Linked DNA regions of Drosophila melanogaster. The protein of the gene in region 1 interacts with the protein of each later gene in a pairwise test. Each region holds a gene or a part of one and is shown on either strand. Other genes may lie near its edges.

Region 1 (7,209 bases):
ATTCCCCGAATTGGACTCCCTGATCGTGGGTGAAATCGAGTACTTGCTGGCGGTCAAGGAGCTGGGCAACGACCTGGACCAGGTCAAAAATAACGAGAAGCTGCAGGCTATTCTCACGCAGGCCACCATTATGATTGTGTCAGTCACGGCGTCCACCACACAGGGGTAAGTTATTTGAACGGTGTAACCCAAAATAACATGTCACTGAATCCCATTCCCTTTCGCAGAACCATGCTGACACCGGCGGAGAAGGCAAAGATCGACGAGGCCTGCGAAATGGCCATCGAACTGAATAACTTCAAGTCCAAGATCTACGAGTATGTGGAAAGTCGCATGACCTTCATAGCCCCAAATCTTTCCATGATTGTTGGAGCATCGACGGCGGCTAAACTCTTGGGCATTGCTGGTGGCCTTTCCAAATTATCCAAAATGCCGGCCTGCAATGTTCAGGTGTTGGGTGCACAAAAGAAAACCCTCTCGGGCTTCTCACAAACGCAGATGTTGCCGCACACTGGCTATGTGTACTACTCACAGATTGTGCAGGATACTGCGCCAGATCTGCGACGCAAGGCAGCTCGCTTGGTGGCCGCCAAGTCCGTGCTGGCTGCTCGTGTTGATGCCTGTCATGAGAGTGTCCACGGGGAGATTGGACTGCGCTTCAAGGAGGATGTGGAAAAGAAGCTGGACAAGCTGCAGGAGCCGCCGCCGGTGAAGTTCATAAAGCCGCTGCCCAAACCCATCGAGGGAAGCAAGAAGAAGCGAGGAGGCAAACGCGTGCGCAAGATGAAGGAACGATATGCGCTGACAGAGTTCCGCAAGCAAGCGAACCGCATGAATTTCGGAGACGTAAGTTTCTGGCTTAAAAATATAATGGTTATGTATTAATCTTTGAACTTTTCTTTCAGATCGAAGAGGATGCCTACCAAGGAGATCTGGGCTATTCACGCGGCACCATCGGCAAAACTGGCACCGGCCGCATCCGATTGCCCCAGGTGGATGAGAAGACCAAGGTGCGCATTAGCAAAACGTTGCACAAGAATCTGCAGAAACAGCAGGTGTACGGCGGCAACACCACGGTCAAACGCCAAATCTCCGGAACGGCATCCAGTGTGGCCTTTACGCCACTGCAAGGTCTAGAGATTGTGAATCCGCAGGCGGCGGAGCGTTCGCAGACGGAGGCCAATGCCAAATACTTTTCAAACACATCCGGATTCATGTCAGTGGGACAGCGGACCACTTAAGAGAACAGCTCTATCCTTATTTTCTATAAAATTAAGCACTTTTATTTGGAGATTTGTCGAATGTATATTGAGTTAGGCGTAGTAAAGCTGCATAAGAGATTCGAATTGTTGTTAGCTGAGCTTGCCGACTTCCAGTTTCCGTTGAATGGCCTCCCACGAGTTGTTCAGCAGCACGGCGAGAATGCCGGCCACCGTGAACACGCCTCCGATGATGGAACAGCAATTCGTGGCGAAGTGGCCAAATGAGCTGGGAATACACAACACAACCAATAAAACTTGTAAAATTAACCATTAGCTTTGTGGCTTACTGACCTGTGTCTCTCCGCATATTTCACCATCAGTGGCGAGAGCTCGTAGCTGAAGAATATCCCCGGCATTCCGCGCTCGCGATCTGAAAGATCTTTTCGGTATCGCGTGACGGAGAATTGATTCGTGTATATGGGCTCGCCGTCGCTGTTTCCTCGCATATATAATGTGGGAACAATTTTTAAATAGTAATTGAACATTTCACTTTTGGTTTCTGCAAAAAGAGGAGAGCAGATTTTCTAGTTTACTTCATTTGTCGTTGATAAATGTATTTAATTTGGTAAGGTAATTACGAATTAAACTTCATGCTTCTAAAAACAGGTATTTCACAATTCGAACAAATGAGTATATTTTTTCCAATTTAAAAAATGAAAATGCCCCACACAACAGACCTCCGAAGTTTCCCAGAAATTCTTCGAGGAGTAAAATATAAATTAAAATGGATGCCTGTGCTTAAATAACTTAGTTTTTTTTTATTTCAGTCTTAAGTATGCTTTTTAATAATATTAATAAATAAAGAATATAAATTGATTTTAAAGCACCCGCTTTTTAGCTACCGCCCCCTATCGGCTTTCTCTAGAACGAGGCAAGCCGAGCGAAAAACAAAGTGGCAACCCTTCTATAATTTGACAGCTCACGCACACCATCACTCAGCTGCTCACACTCACACGTTTACGAATTATTCGACTAGTCGGTGCCGAAATAAATAGAAATATTTTGAATATTCCTAAAATAAACGAACCTTCTGCGAGATTCATAAGTGCGTCGGAGCAGCGGAGCTTGCTACTCAGCGGTATCAACTCATATAGAGCCGGTGAACCAGGAAAACCACGGACTTAGCGGCATGCCTCTGCCTACGAGCTCATTTTCCCAGCAGGGACCAACGTGCTTCGATAAGATGAAGACGGGCTTCATCATCGGATTCTGCGTGGGCATGGCCAGCGGTGCGGTCTTTGGCGGGTTCTCGGCGCTCAGGTTAGTTGGACTTTGCACTCGGATGCTCCACTTAGCGCTCCTCCAAAGAAGTGACGCAAGTGGAGGCCGGCAATTATGTAATTACTCCGGCTAACTAACGAACCACATTGAAATACACTTTAGATACGGACTACGCGGGCGGGAGCTGATCAACAACGTGGGCAAGACCATGGTCCAGGGCGGCGGAACCTTTGGCACCTTTATGGCCATCGGCACGGGGATTCGCTGCTGATCCTGCTGGCATTTGACTAGAGTTACTAAACAACCACAACCTTAAGCCCTACTCCAATCTTGTTTAAATTACGCTAAGTTATTGCAATAGAGATGTTACAGAATTACGAGTCCGTGTTTGTGTTCACTACTCACCAGCCACGTCGACTCGTAGTCCATCCAAGGGATGCGTCTTGGCGAACTCTATCTTCTCGCCGAACGATAGGTGATTGATTGTGTGCGATAGCTTCACATTGCTGAACTGAAAGTCATGGATGTGGAACTGGCGGATGGAGAAGCTCTTGCCGGGCGCAAAGTGAAAGCTGCCGGCCATTCGATTCACTTCCAGGTGACCCTGGATGCGACAGCCCTCCTTGAAGGCGTCCTCGTCGCTGCGTTTGTACTTGCCCTTACATTGCTCGATCTTGTCCACGGCCACGGTCCATTTGCGCAGCCGGTAGGCGTCGAGAACATCCTCGCACGTGTTGCAGCAGCTAGATAGGATGGTAGTTGGTATTAAAAGGGGGAGATTAGAAAGCCATTGCTATAATTAGCTCTAGATACAGATATCTCCTTAGATAAATCTTGTCAGCGAAAATAGGTGGAACTAATGGTTGAACTTAGAAGCTGTTCACTATCTTACTGAGTAGCATTGTGCTCCGCTCCGTAACAACTGCCGCAAGTGACATTCTTATTGGGCGGCGAAACTGCAACGATTTCCTTGATGGGCGTCTCCTTGAGGGGCTCGCCATTGAGATCCAGCCGGTGCTTAAAGACGTCGTGGTCCACCCTCAAGTGTGTGTCGCCAGATGAATCCATTGCGTCCAATGAGATGTAGTTGCACGCCAGATTATGCAGTGTCACGTCCAGATTTATTCTCAACTTGTGATCACGAGTGGTGTCCACGAAGAGCTCTTCATTTAGGGTTGGCTGCATGTAGTTGAGGACCTCGAGGAAGATCAGTAGGCTTATGATGCTGGTACTGATAATTGTAACTGAAAATCAGAGAAAAGCCGGTTGTTTGGGTTCCTTAACGCCACAATCAATTGTACACCTGCACCCACCTGCGGCGCCGCCCACTGTGCGAACGCTGAAGTCATCCAGTGTGCGGGGATAGGCGTCCAGGCGACGCAGCACGTCGGCGAACTTCATCGTGAACACGTAAAAGGAACAAAACAGACGAAATGCAGACGTAAACAATAAATATTACATCGTTTTTGCACAAGACAGGTGACGTGTTGAAATTGGCGTTGCCAGTACGCCGCAATGGTACGGCCAAACAGATGTTCGCTGTGGTTCGGTTCGATTGACTGTTATCGTATCCGTATCTACATGCCAGCTCTTACTTTACATGTCGCATTTTACATGTTAAAAATCGGGCGAGATGCAGTAATTGTAGATAAGTATGCAGTTTTAAAAATAAATGGGCCACATCAAGAAATCTTAAAACTATTTTATCCGTTTATAAGAGGTAAATGCCATTGACACAATATAAAACGCTTATTTAAGTGCTTATCTTATTAACATAGAAACTTATGATTAGATCTTACATTGCATTACAATAGCAACATGCATGCCAATTATTACATTTCAAAAAAATACAATTTAAAATTATAAAGGTTATAAAAATGTTTTTATTTTAAGCAAAGTTTTGCTGAAACTGCATGATTATTTAATGTTAAAATTTAGCTCTTATAGTTCCCAAAATTTGATTCGTCTGGTGGTATTGATTTTGATACACACTTTACATTTACTGTTTATTAACGAATACAAAATACCCTCACTGACTATAAGCAATGATTTAAAAAAATCCAATGTCAAGCCTTACATTTATATAAGCTTTAACTTTTACTTAGGCGATTTTTTGATTTCATCCTTCATTAGCCGGAGCTTTACCCCATTGATTGCGCATACGCCGCGTTGGCCCGGCGACAATTAGGACCTCCGCTTGGCCGTCCTTTCCCATGGCCACGAATAATGTTTAATAGTGTTGTCATGTCTTGGGGTTGTGGTTGTGCATACATTAGGCCGCCATTGCCCACCATCGGCAATAACACCACCCCCCCACTCAGACGCCTTAACCCACTGCTGCTGCTGTGGTCCAGGAGACCGCGTCTAATTTTATAATACATGTTAAACAGATGAAAGGTTAATTGAAAGGAACCACAAGTTTCGACAGCCCGCGCAGCTAATGCTTAGCTTTTAGGGGTTGCAACCCCCACACCCCACAAACCCCTTTCAAAGAAGCGGACTAATAGAAGACCGTGGTTTATCCCCGGGGATTTTGGTTAAAGTTAAAAGTTTTCGCCTAAATATAAATCACCAAATGGCTTTTCGCCCGACTGATTGAAGGTCCATGAACCCAGCATCCATGTAGGGTCACAAATAATTGTATGTAGGTGTAGAACATACCGCGACTTTGTGTAATTACCAATTAAGCTCAAGTTCCCGATGCTTTCTCATTTTCCTGGCCACTCTACAGTTTCCTTTGTCATTTCTTTCGCCGACTTCACTTTTTTTTTGCAATTACCTGGACAAGAAATCTGTAAAATCAGGCAAGGCAGCAGATGACAAAGATTAGCCAGCGGTAATTTTACACTTTTTTTACTTTCTAAATTAAAGTAAATGGATTGGAAAGGGTATGGAATAGAGCATCACGCTTTGGATCTGGGAAAGTTCATAAAAAAGTGGAAGTGTCAGTTTTAACAATGTGTAACTGTATGTATAAATATGTAAATATGTAAATATGTGAATATGTAATATGTAATATGTATGTATAAATAATAAACAATGATACCATGGATTTTTAATATATAACAGCTTGACTTTGACCTTACACATTTTCAAATAAAGTTTTTTTTATTTAGGCCTTAAGCAAAATTTAAAAGTGACATATACTTCGAGATATAAACTCAATTTTTGAATCTATCCTTTCTAAAAAATTGCCACAAAGTTCTTAGTCCTTTTATGGGTCACTTTTAAATTGGATTTGAAAATGTCTCAAAAATATTTATCCCTTGGCTTCGCCGACTGACAAGTTCATAGCCCTTTTTCCTAGTATATCCTCTTATATTTGCGCAACTTATGGCCACAGGGCATTCGGGTTTTCTGCCATGGCCATTTCCCTCGACCACGCCCACTCTTATCTCCCGCTAATTTGCATTTCTAACCATTTCGCTCTAGCCAATTCGCGTCATTTCTTATTTGAAACAATGAGCCCAACATCAGCCAGAACAAATAGCGGAGAAGGAGTCATTGTGCTACGGCTTTGCCGGCAATAAAAGACTCCGGAGACAAAAGAACCGGGCTAAAAAAAAAGAGCGAGAAGAGAGCGTGTCAAGAAACTTGGAACCCGGAGCCGGAGAATGGGTAAAGAAAGCCAGAAGAGAAGTTGGCGTAAAGCAGCTTAAACAATCAGGACTGCCTAATGGATATTGACACTTTAATGCCCTGGCCACCAACCCAGGCTCTGATTCCGATTTCGAATACGCACTGCGAAAAAACCATCTTCATTATTTAAATTTAAATGCAAGGCACATAGATACACAATTAGGTACATATTAATCTACTGACACGCTAACTCAAATTCACTTTTTCCTTCCCATAGTCAAGGAAGTGCTATTATTCATAATAATATTCAAGAGGAACTTGCTTTTTGTACTTACTTACGTATCTATAGTATAAATAGATAGCACTATCACATTTTGAAGTAAATTAAAAAACTAAATGAAATAAACAATTATAAGACGCTTTAAGATTTATTGTAAACTATATTTTGAAATGCAAGTGAAAATTTAATTAGCTCATACTAAATCAAACTAAAAGGGCGCAATTTTCCCTCCGTGTAGATTTCAAATTGATATTGGATTGGGGGAATCCCCGCGCGGGAGGCTGTATCCATCCGTGCAGATGTCCTGCTCTAATTCGGTTCGGTTTTCAGCTCGCCGTGGCACAAACATATATTTTTTTTTTTTTGCCTGGGCCGCATTCTTTGCTTTAAACAAAATTGCAGTGCCGAAATTAATTATAGAGCCGCCGCAGCCGAGCCATATTTAATTAAACGTGGACATTTTCAACTTGGAACAGCCGAGCGAACCACTGAGCCACCCAAAAAAGGACGTGGAGCCAAAAGGCGTAATTAATTAGTGGAGACGTGCCAAATAATTGCGGCAGAAGTAAGTTTTTTCCTTTTTCGGGCGACTCCTTTATAATTTCGCTGGTCAAGGAATGTTTCAATTACGTGTATTGCTGATGGGCGATTGGGTTTGGGGGTTTTTTGGGAGCTGAGAGCTGCGAGCTGCTTCCTGCGGCAGGACTAAACTTTTCTGCCATCGGGCCAGGTGGGAATTAATTAAATTAGCAGGCGTCATTTTGGAAAAGCGTCGCGCAAAGACTTAAAATATTCGGCGACTCGTGCTCCGGTCTCCTGTCACTCAAATCGGCCATCAAATTTGGTGCTTTGCCACCCGAAAATTGC
Region 2 (9,901 bases), on another chromosome or scaffold:
TATCAGATTGTAGATAGAAAAGTAAGACGGAGATCGGGAGAGTCCTTTGGAAAGATGCCAACCATTGTAGTTTTTAAGAGCAGTGTATATATATCAGAAATTTTATAGTAACAACTGAACTAAAATCTTAAACCTGTTGATATAGAATAGAATACTGCATTTGGTGTTGCATTGCACGGTTAGGATTCGGTGATCTTTTAAATCCTGAAAGGTTTATATATCCACATAAAACTTTTGTTTTATAAAATGATAGAAGCTTTACTACATGAGCCATCCATGATATATGTTACATGATCGTTGACTAGCGTGTTAAACCAAACAGAGACTGTCTAAGTTTCCCCACTTCCATTTAATTTATCTGCGCAAAAACCTATTTGGCACCAAAACATTTACCGGCTAAATTGTTTTTCTTACAGACGCGCGTGTGCTGATCATTGGCGCCGGCCCCAGTGGCATGGACATCACCAACCATGTTCGCTTGGCTGCCAAGCAGGTCTTCCTAAGCCACCACCTTTCCACGACCCCTAACACAGCATTCATGGGCAACGTAACGCAGAAGCCGGATGTGAAACGCTTCACAAAGGATGGAGCCGTCTTCACGGACGGCAGCACGGAGAGCTTTGACCACGTGATGTTCTGCACCGGCTACAAGTACACATTCCCCTGCCTCAGCACCGATGTGGGTGTCCAGGTGATAGACAACTTCGTGCAGCCACTGTGGAAGCACTGCATCAACATCAACCACCCGACCATGGCCTTTGTGGGCCTGCCCTTCAACGTGATTCCCACCCACATCTTCGACATGCAGGTGCGCTTCACGCTGAAGTTCTTCACAGGTCAGCGGAAGTTTCCCTCCCGGGAGCAGATGATTGCCGATCTGGAGCAGGAGATCGGAGAGCGGTGGGGCTGCGGCGTGCGCAACCAGAAGAAAGCACATCAGATGGGCGAGCGACAGGTGAGTGTTCACAATACCCTGTATAAGAAATTAAAAATATTAGCTTATGTAGACTTATTTGTTAAAGACTTTTACAAGCAGAGAACATATATAAAACAATCTTTTATCTGTAATTTCAGTTTGTCTACTACAATGAACTGGCCAGTATCGCGGGCATCGAGAACATCAAGCCAGTTATCCACAAGCTAATGAAGGACTGCGGCAAGAAGTACATTTTTGAATTGGACACGTACAGGAGCAACAAGTATACGATTTTGGACGATGAAAACTTTTTGAAGAACGGAGAAGCTATTGTATGATGAACCTGATTTCATCCCATTCTAATATCTTACGTTAGGCGATAAAAAGTGTTTCACTGTAGTACACGAAGATTTAGCGGACTCTTCGGTTCGGATTCTTTTAACGGATTATAACTCAGATGTGTTAATTAATATTTTATAAGAACAATGTAAATCAAAGTATGTTTTGAACGATTAATTCAAAACGTTTATTTGCTAACCAGGAGTATATCTGATAATGTCCACCATAGCTCTTTAATTCTAAGCCTCGTAGAATTGTAGAAGTCAAATTAAAATCTTACTCCCGAATCTCCCATATTTTGGTGCTATATGGTATGAATCATTTAGACAAACAAGGTATGGTTTGCTTTTCACATTTTTTTAGTGTCGTTCTTACAAGTCAGTTAAATAATCATATTGATGGTAAGCTATATCGGCTTACTGGCTCAATTCGTACATGATGTGGGAGAGCACTCCGCTAGCCTCCACATTGCTAAAGGCGACATTGGCCAAGCGTGACTCATAGCGTTTCAGGCTTCTCTTGGCCGTAGCCGAGTAGGTGACCAGGTTGCGTATAATGAGCGCCGCTGTCAGACGGATGCTCTTGGTGACTGGACCCTCATTTTCGTCCATCAGCTCTTTAGCGTTCGTGTAATCAGTCGTGTGTCGGTTCATAGCTTGCATTGCGGCGCTGCCAACGACTGGAACCGCTGAAGCAGGACCCGAAGGTGAACCAGTAGCGCCTCCCGCCAATCGTTGGGCATGACCCTCGTTGCGCACTATGGTCACGGGAGCCTGGGTGGGCGCCACATTGTGAATCCCAGTTGCCAGGCGACGTTGCACACTGGCGCGCAAGTTCTCCGTTGTCAGGTGCCGGTCAATCAGATGCGTCATCAATGAGTACCGTTTGCGCGCTCTGTTGTCGCAGAAGTTGGGTCCGCTGCCCCACTGACAATAAATGTCGGCATCAGAATCAAGGTGATCTGGACAGTGGACACTGCACACGTGGTACTGCAGCTCGTTAAGAGACTTGAATTTCTTGCGGGGACAGTTCCGCCAGTCGCAGATGTACAACCAATTTGCATCCACGGGCATGGGAGAGGGCGTGGGGTTGGCATTCGGGCCAGAAGCAGCGTAGACGCTCTGACTGACAACCAAAGAACTGCTGCTGGGACCTGTAGTTACGACAGCAGGTGGGACAACCGTCTGTGCTACTACCTCTGATTCCGCTGGCTTGGCCTCGCTGGTTGCTAAGACAACTGTTTTGCCGCCTTCCGTTGAATCACTAGTTCCTGACGTCGTTACCACAACAGCCTGGGTGACTGATGGCTTGGGGCTAGATACTTGAGCAGGTTGTGGCGGCGCCGGCTTTTTTGCTAGGAGAGTTACAGTTGGTGAAACTGGAACGGGTGCTATTTTCGGTTTGGTCGCTTCGGAAATCTAAAATAATATATTAAAATATTTGTTTTAGTCATCTTAGCACAATTCTTATTACCATACACCTGTTGGCTATTTAGAAAAGAGATCCTGTAAAACCCGCCACTCAAGTAGTGAAAACGCGATGGAAACATTTAAAAATGGGGAATGTGAATGTGATGCGATTTATGGGATTTAGAACGGGCATGGGCATATTATGAAATCAAATTTTAAGCTGTTTACATACTTTTCAATGACCCTTGTATATATACTTAAAAAAAAATAATAATTCTTTAATTTCGGCCCCAGTTCCCAACTTACTGCCGGCATGGTTATCTTCTGTTGGATGATGGATGGATGATGCTGCTGCTGCTGGTCCAACACAGATCGAATGTGATGTTGCTGCTGAAGAGCCACGCCTCCTACGATAGCCGTGCTGGTAGGTGACTGAGTGATGATCGTCTGCGAGTTAAGCTGGCTTTGCTGCAGGGGAGCCGGTGTGGCCGACGTCTGGGTAATTAGCGTGGTCTCCTTGATTCCGCCCAGAATTACCTGCCTCTTTTCCCCACCAACCGTACCGCCAACTGTGGAAGTAGGAGTGGAGGGGCCCGAGATTATGTGTTGCTGGATGATAGACTGATGTTGCTGGAGCTGAGGAATGGGCAATGAAGCGCCCGGCTTTGCGGCAACTAATCGCTGCTGGGGTGCTAATTGCGGCGAAACGAGCTGCGGCTGTGGTTGGGGCTGATGAAGCTTTATAGTAGCCGGGATCTGGTTCAACTGCGACAGCAGTGAAGGCGACATTTGGCCAGCACCCAACGCCGGAACTGGTCGCTGGGGTGCGATAAAGATTTGCTGCTGGGGGGTAGAAGTACGCGGTTGGGCCAGTTGTGGAGCTGTGGTGGTGGTAACCAGGACCTGCTGGCCCTGCGCCGTTGTCATTATCATTTTCTGAGTGCCAGCCACGTTCGCCGCAGAGACTCCTCCTGGCTGCTGCAGGATTATTATGGTCTTCGTTTGTTGTTGTGGTGTTTGCGTCACCAGCAGAGTGGGTGGTGCCGACTGCGTGGATGTCGGAATAGTCGGCTGCTGGGCCACAAGATACGTCTGGCCTTGCTGGTTGGTGGCCAGAACATATTGCGTCTGCGGAGCTGGCGTGGAATCCATTGCAGTCTTGGGCTGCAGGATCACTGGCACAGTTTGCAAGCCCTGATCCGTCTTTATGGTGGCCGTGGTGGCAAGTTTTAGTTGGGAATGCGGAGCTGGAGAAACCACATTGCTACCGGGGAAAACAAGTTGACGTTGGGTTGGTTGCACTTTAGCCGGAATGAGTTGAAGCTGCTGTGCCTGTTGCGGGTGCTGCTGGCTTTGCTCCTGGCTTGGTTTGGCCAGCGGTGGAACGTCATCCATATCCTCATCCTCCAAAATAGATGCCGCCAGATCCGCATAGAGATTGGCTGCATTCTTCGAGGGAGTCACCTGCGCTTCTTCCTTGCCGCCAGAAGATGAGCTGCTGGAACTGCTGGCAGCGGCATCTAAAGCCAGACGCTTATTCTGCTCCTCGTCAATGGTTAATTTTCGTTTGGCAGCTGCTGATGCAATGATGAGAGTGCGCCCGCTGGCGTCTTTCGTCACTACGTTTGCACCACTCAATGGAGCGAGAGGTGGCGGGGCCGAATCAGTGATTGGCTTCTTTTCGATGGCCATCTGGGGGTGCAACGGCTTAATGGTAGTCTGACCCACCTTCACCGGTGTGTGCTGCATTAGCGGGTTGTTCACGAAGGCGCTTATAGCTGTTGAGGTTACCTTGATGGGCTGGGTAGCATTTGTGCCCGATGCCGTGGTAGCCACAAGGGCTGGCGGCTGCGGCGTCTGAGCTTGGGCCTTCTGCTTCTGTTGGCGTTCAGTTACCTTGTTGGCCAACAAGCTTTTGATGAGCGAGGAGCTTGGGGGTGGCGTGACTGCAGAAGAAACGCTTTCCTCAGACGCCACTTCCGTTTGAACAGGATCACTAAATGGTTGCTTGGGCAATATTGGCGTGTCCTTTTTAACAGGAACAATGCTGGGGGTGGGTCTCTGTTGCATGGCTAGCGGCTGAGCTCGCATCCTAATGCCTACGTAGTACGTCCCAGGTAGCTCTATTCCGTCCAGGTGCCGTACAATTACTGGTCCCACCGATTGATTAAATATAAGCCGCACTAGACGAGGAAACTGCATGTGATTAACCACTGAAAGCTTACCCGCCTTCTGGCAATGCGATAAATATATTCTGTATAGTTCCGCTTGTTCCACACGGAGATCGTTACCGTTCCCAGCCCGTTCATACGTGGCTCCCAGCCAAGCCAGCGCATACTGTTCGTCCTCGTGTGTAAAACTCTGGGAGGCGGAGGGCAGACTGGGAAGGGTCACGGTGGCAGCGATTGGTGGCAATTGTACCTGCGGCAGACTGGGTACAGGCAATTGAACCTGTGGCAGACTGGGCATTGGCAGACCGGGGAGAGCTGTAACCAAGGGTGTTTGCTCTCCGTGAGGCAGCACTTGCGTCTGGGCGGGTGTAGGCGTGGGTAAAACTGCTGGCGGTTTAACAGCTACTTGCAGCGATGTTGGAAGTGTAGTCAGGGAAGTGGGACCTGGAGCAAGAATGGCGGGCATGTTCTGAGCCAGCGAGGCAGCCATGTTTCCGGGGAAAACCTCTACGACACGCATTAATATGCAACCGCCTGTGCCATATGACTGAGCCTCCACTGTGATAAGGGTCACCAGCTGGTCTATTAGGCCACGTACTTGCATCAGCATCGAACATGGCCGAGCGCCAAGAGCACTTAGTGCGTAAACTGCCTCCAGCGTAAAGATAATCATCATGACGTCGGTAAGCGAGAGGAGCAACATGGCTCGCTGGTAAAAGTCCAGGCCAAGGCAACGATTGATGTGCTGCGAATTGCCTTCTCGTCCGCACAACTTATAGAGTATCTCCAGACAGCTCATGATCACCGCGCGGTCGTTAGAGTCAATACCCTCGCAGAGAGTAGCTAAAAGATTCCGCGATAGCTCGTCAGTGGTGGGGTCTAGCAGCTCAAATTGTTGAGCCAGGTTGCCAGCGGTCTCGAGGGCCTGGATGTGAATGTTGCCTAGAACGAGCGAAACGTGTTTCAGTTATTTTATTTTAAATTGATTCTTTCGGGATTGCTATGCTACGCAATAGTCAATTTCCTTGCAGTGTATTTATGATAGCACCTTGATACTTCGTACATTCAAAGCGCCAAAAAATATAATTTCTAAGCAGATAAAAAAAACTTACTCCATCGTACGTTTGCTCCCATGACCAAATATCGCCACAACGTGCGGTTGGAGGCCAAGAGTGCATGATTCTCCTGATGAAAGCTGAGTGTACGGACTAGCTGGACAATCTGAAGCACTCGCTGGCCCATGCGCTCATCAGTCCCGTTGCTCCGGCGCAGATTAAGGAAGTGCAACTCGTCGCAGGCCGCCAGCAGTTCACTTCGAGCGGCAGAGTTCTCACCGTCCTCCTTACTTATCAGACCGTTGTCCAGCCAGGCCTGCTCATCCGTGTAGAGCTCTAGGACCTGTGGCTTGTCGTGTAGCAGGTCGCGCCAGAAACTGAGCTGCGAATGGTGTCGAACCTCGGTGTAACTGTGCTGGAACAGCTGGCGCATGGTGAAGTCAGCGTAGACTCCCAGGTGAGCAAGCAGCACATCAAGCAGTTTGGGGCACTCGGACAGCTGTAGGGTGTGGCGCGCCTCGTTGGCCATAAGTGTGCACACGTTTATGGCGAAGTCCTGCTCATTGGGCAGCGGAGAAAGCAGAGACAACAGCAGCTTCTCGTAGCTGCTGTGTCGGTGCAACTGCGTGGACATCTTGTACTGTCGGCGTCGTTCCACATTAACAGAGTGCTGGCGCTGGTTGTAGGCCATTGGCACCGCCGGCAACGTAGAGTGTGCTGATCCAAAAATGCTTCCTAGGCCACCACCGGCGCCAGCCAAAAAACGAGATCGCGAGCGTCCACCGCCCATTTCTACAATCTCAATAGCCGCCTCCAGAGCCTCCATCTTGTCTGGATCCTCGCCAAAGAAGTTCAACCGTTCGTACTTGTCCAGGTAGCGTCTGTAGATGTGCTTGATACTAGCCGTTCCGTTAACGCAGCGCTCCCGCAATGTCTCCATGGCGCTGTACACCTCGTCCCACTCGTCCCGCATGGTCACCTTATTAAAGCCGCCTCGTTCGGTTACCTCGTTGTACAGCTTGTACAGGTCGACATGCTTACCGCTGATCCTGGCGGGCTGTGTCAATGGAGTGCTGTTTGGGCAGAGGGAAAGTGGGTTAGGTCGTCTCCAAATACAGGAGAGCCGCGGCAACTCACCCGCGTCGTTCGTGAAACTGCTGCAGGTCCCTCCAGAACTCCTCCGGAGGTGACGGCGGCATCTCCTCGACCTTCTCCGGCATGATCTGTAATTGGGCGGGATTCTTGGCGCGAAGGGGAGTCGCTGGGGCCGCAATCTTGCCCGGCGTCTGTAGATCGCCCGGCTGAGTGGCGCTGTTTACGGCGGCAGCAGGCAGCGACTGAAGCAGCACCCGTACGTTGTCGATGGTGGTGGCGCTCATGATTGGATCTTTTTGTGTGGTGGCGTGAATGGGAAACACTTAACACATGATATTCTAATAGTAAGACACGCAGATGCTAATTAAAATTATTTAAAAAACTCAACAAAAATTACAACGCGACGCTGACGCGCTACAGCAGAGTTGCATTCACGAGCAGGGCTGTCAGCAATTGGACCGTATATCGATATGAGGTATCGATGTCTTTCAATATTGGATTTGATTTAACTTTCTTTTATTTACTGTCTTCTTTGAAGACATTTGTTATTTCATAACTCAAAAATCAGCATCCAATCTACATTGGCTAAACAATGAAACGTAATCTGTTCTTAATTCCTTCAGAATTTACGGTTTGTTGTTCACAGTTGAAACATCTCTATCTCTCTCTCTCTCTCTTGCTGATCGAAATCTTTAGAGAACTAGTCAGCTGGCAGTTTGCTTCAGTTTTGAGCTGAATAATGTGATGAAACTGAACTCTCCATTACATGTAGTAACTCTTATTCAAACCAACTAAGCATTTGAGTCCAAAATTCATTACAGCCCAGAAATTTGGAAGAAAACACCGTTATGAGTAGGGTTTTACCAGTTTACTATTATCGAATACTTACAATCGATTGATTTGGCTACACTGTGCACACATGTGCGCTGGAACAAACTTCGTAGTTGGGTAACATTAAAGTTGGGCAAAACATTAAAACAACAAGATGTCTGTACGAGCGATGGGAGTGCTGGGCCAGGCGTGCCGCCTCGGTCGCTGTGCCCAAGTGTTGAGGCAGAGTCACCGATCCGCCCCAGCAGCGTTCAATATCACCATTGGATCGCAGCATTCGCCGGGTGGTAAGCACTGAATATAAGCAACCGGCTCCCCGGAGGGATTCTTATGTTTACATAACACTCATCTTTTCACTTGCAGCTCTCTCGCTCCGTCGCTACTCCACGGAGACCAAGCAGGCATCAGGATCAGTGGTGGACAAGCATGAGTTCCAGGCAGAGACGCGCCAGCTACTTGACATTGTGGCTCGTTCCTTATACTCCGACCACGAGGTCTTTGTGCGCGAGCTTATTTCGAATGCAAGCGATGCGCTGGAGAAATTTCGGTACACCTCGTTGAGCGCTGGAGGCGAGAATCTGGCTGGAAAGGACCGGCCTCTGGAGATTCGTATCACCACCGACAAGCCACTGATGCAGCTAATCATCCAGGACACGGGCATCGGCATGACCAAGGAGGAGCTGGTCAGCAACCTGGGCACCATTGCACGCAGCGGCTCGAAGAAGTTCCTGGAGCAGATGAAGGGGACCCAGCAGGGAGCCAGCTCGGAGGCATCCTCGAACATTATTGGTCAGTTCGGCGTGGGCTTTTACTCTTCCTTCATTGTCGCCAATAAGGTGGAGGTGTTCACGAGGGCGGCTGTGCCTAATGCACCCGGACTGCGTTGGTCCACGGATGGCAGTGGAACCTACGAGATCGAAGAGGTGCCTGACGTTGAGTTGGGAACGCGAATCGTGCTTCATTTAAAGACCGATTGCCGTGAATATGCGGACGAGGAGAGGATCAAGGCGGTAATCAAGAAATACAGCAACTTTGTGGGCTCACCCATCTTGCTTAACGGAAAGCAGGCCAATGAGATCAAGCCTCTGTGGCTTCTTGAGCCACAAAGCATCAGCAAGGAGCAGCACCATGACTTCTATCGGTTCATTAGCAATAGCTTCGATGTCCCGCGCTTCACCTTACACTATAATGCTGACGTACCCTTGAGCATCCATGCACTGCTCTACTTCCCCGAAGGAAAGCCTGGTTTATTCGAGATGTCTCGGGACGGAAACACCGGTGTGGCTCTTTACACCCGCAAGGTGCTTATTCAGTCCAAGACTGAGCATCTGCTGCCCAAGTGGCTGCGTTTTGTAAAGGGTGTTGTCGACTCTGAGGACATTCCACTCAACCTGAGTCGCGAGCTGCTCCAGAACAGCAGCCTGATTCGCAAACTGTCCAGTGTGATTTCCACCCGCGTTATCCGTTTCCTGCAAGAGCGGTCCAAGAAGCAGCCAGAAGAGTACGAGGCCTTCTACCGGGACTATGGGCTTTTCCTGAAGGAAGGAATTGTAACCTCCAGCGACGCCTCCGAGAAAGAAGAAATAGCTAAACTTCTGCGTTTTGAATCCTCCAAGTCGGAGACCGCCAGTGGGCGCATGTCGCTGGAGGAGTACTACAACGCCGTTCCCGCAGAACAGCAGAATATTTACTACTTGGCAGCACCCAACCGCGTTCTTGCCGAGTCCTCGCCCTACTACGAGAGTCTGAAGAAGCGCAACGAGCTGGTGCTCTTCTGCTACGAACCCTATGATGAGCTGGTGCTCATGCAGCTGGGCAAGTTCAAAAGCAAAAAACTCGTTTCCGTGGAGAAGGAGATGCGCGAAGAGTCCAAGGAGACAACAGCGACCACCGACTTTGGCGAGGGCAGTCTGCTGCGCTCAGAGCTCGACACTTTGATTCCCTGGCTGGAGGAGGAGCTCAGGGGGCAGGTTATTAAAGTAAAAGCCACCACTCGTCTAGACACCCATCCCTGTGTAATCACCGTAGAGGAAATGGCTGCCGCTCGCCACTTCATTCGCACCCAGAGTCACCAGGTGCCAGAAC

The links.
Region 2: the proteins of CG7011 (region 1) and Bap170 interact in a two-hybrid assay, tested with the Drosophila melanogaster proteins (one large-scale study listed by BioGRID).

Annotation. Positions count from the first base shown.
Region 1 is NT_037436.4:15,159,612-15,166,820, forward strand, and holds CG7011 (uncharacterized protein), read right to left. Parts: upstream 4,018-7,209; 5' UTR 3,885-4,017; coding exon 3,797-3,884; intron 3,728-3,796; coding exon 3,376-3,727; intron 3,227-3,375; coding exon 2,889-3,226; intron 2,860-2,888; exon of another isoform or gene 2,755-2,859; coding exon of another isoform or gene 2,646-2,754; intron 2,523-2,645; coding exon of another isoform or gene 2,392-2,522; exon of another isoform or gene 2,206-2,391; intron 1,762-2,205; coding exon 1,554-1,761; intron 1,528-1,553; exon of another isoform or gene 1,489-1,527; coding exon 1,353-1,488; 3' UTR 1,265-1,352; downstream 1-1,264. Other genes in the region: Prp31 (Pre-mRNA processing factor 31), read left to right, coding at 1-165, 228-846, 906-1,241; CG6878 (uncharacterized protein), read left to right, coding at 2,392-2,522, 2,646-2,754.
Region 2 is NT_033778.4:6,634,057-6,643,957, reverse strand, and holds Bap170 (brahma associated protein 170kD), read right to left. Parts: upstream 7,447-9,901; 5' UTR 7,270-7,446; coding exon 7,028-7,269; intron 6,964-7,027; coding exon 5,948-6,963; intron 5,778-5,947; coding exon 2,971-5,777; intron 2,674-2,970; coding exon 1,672-2,673; 3' UTR 1,600-1,671; downstream 1-1,599. Other genes in the region: Fmo-2 (Flavin-containing monooxygenase 2), read left to right, coding at 417-955, 1,075-1,254; Trap1, read left to right, coding at 7,971-8,103, 8,180-9,901.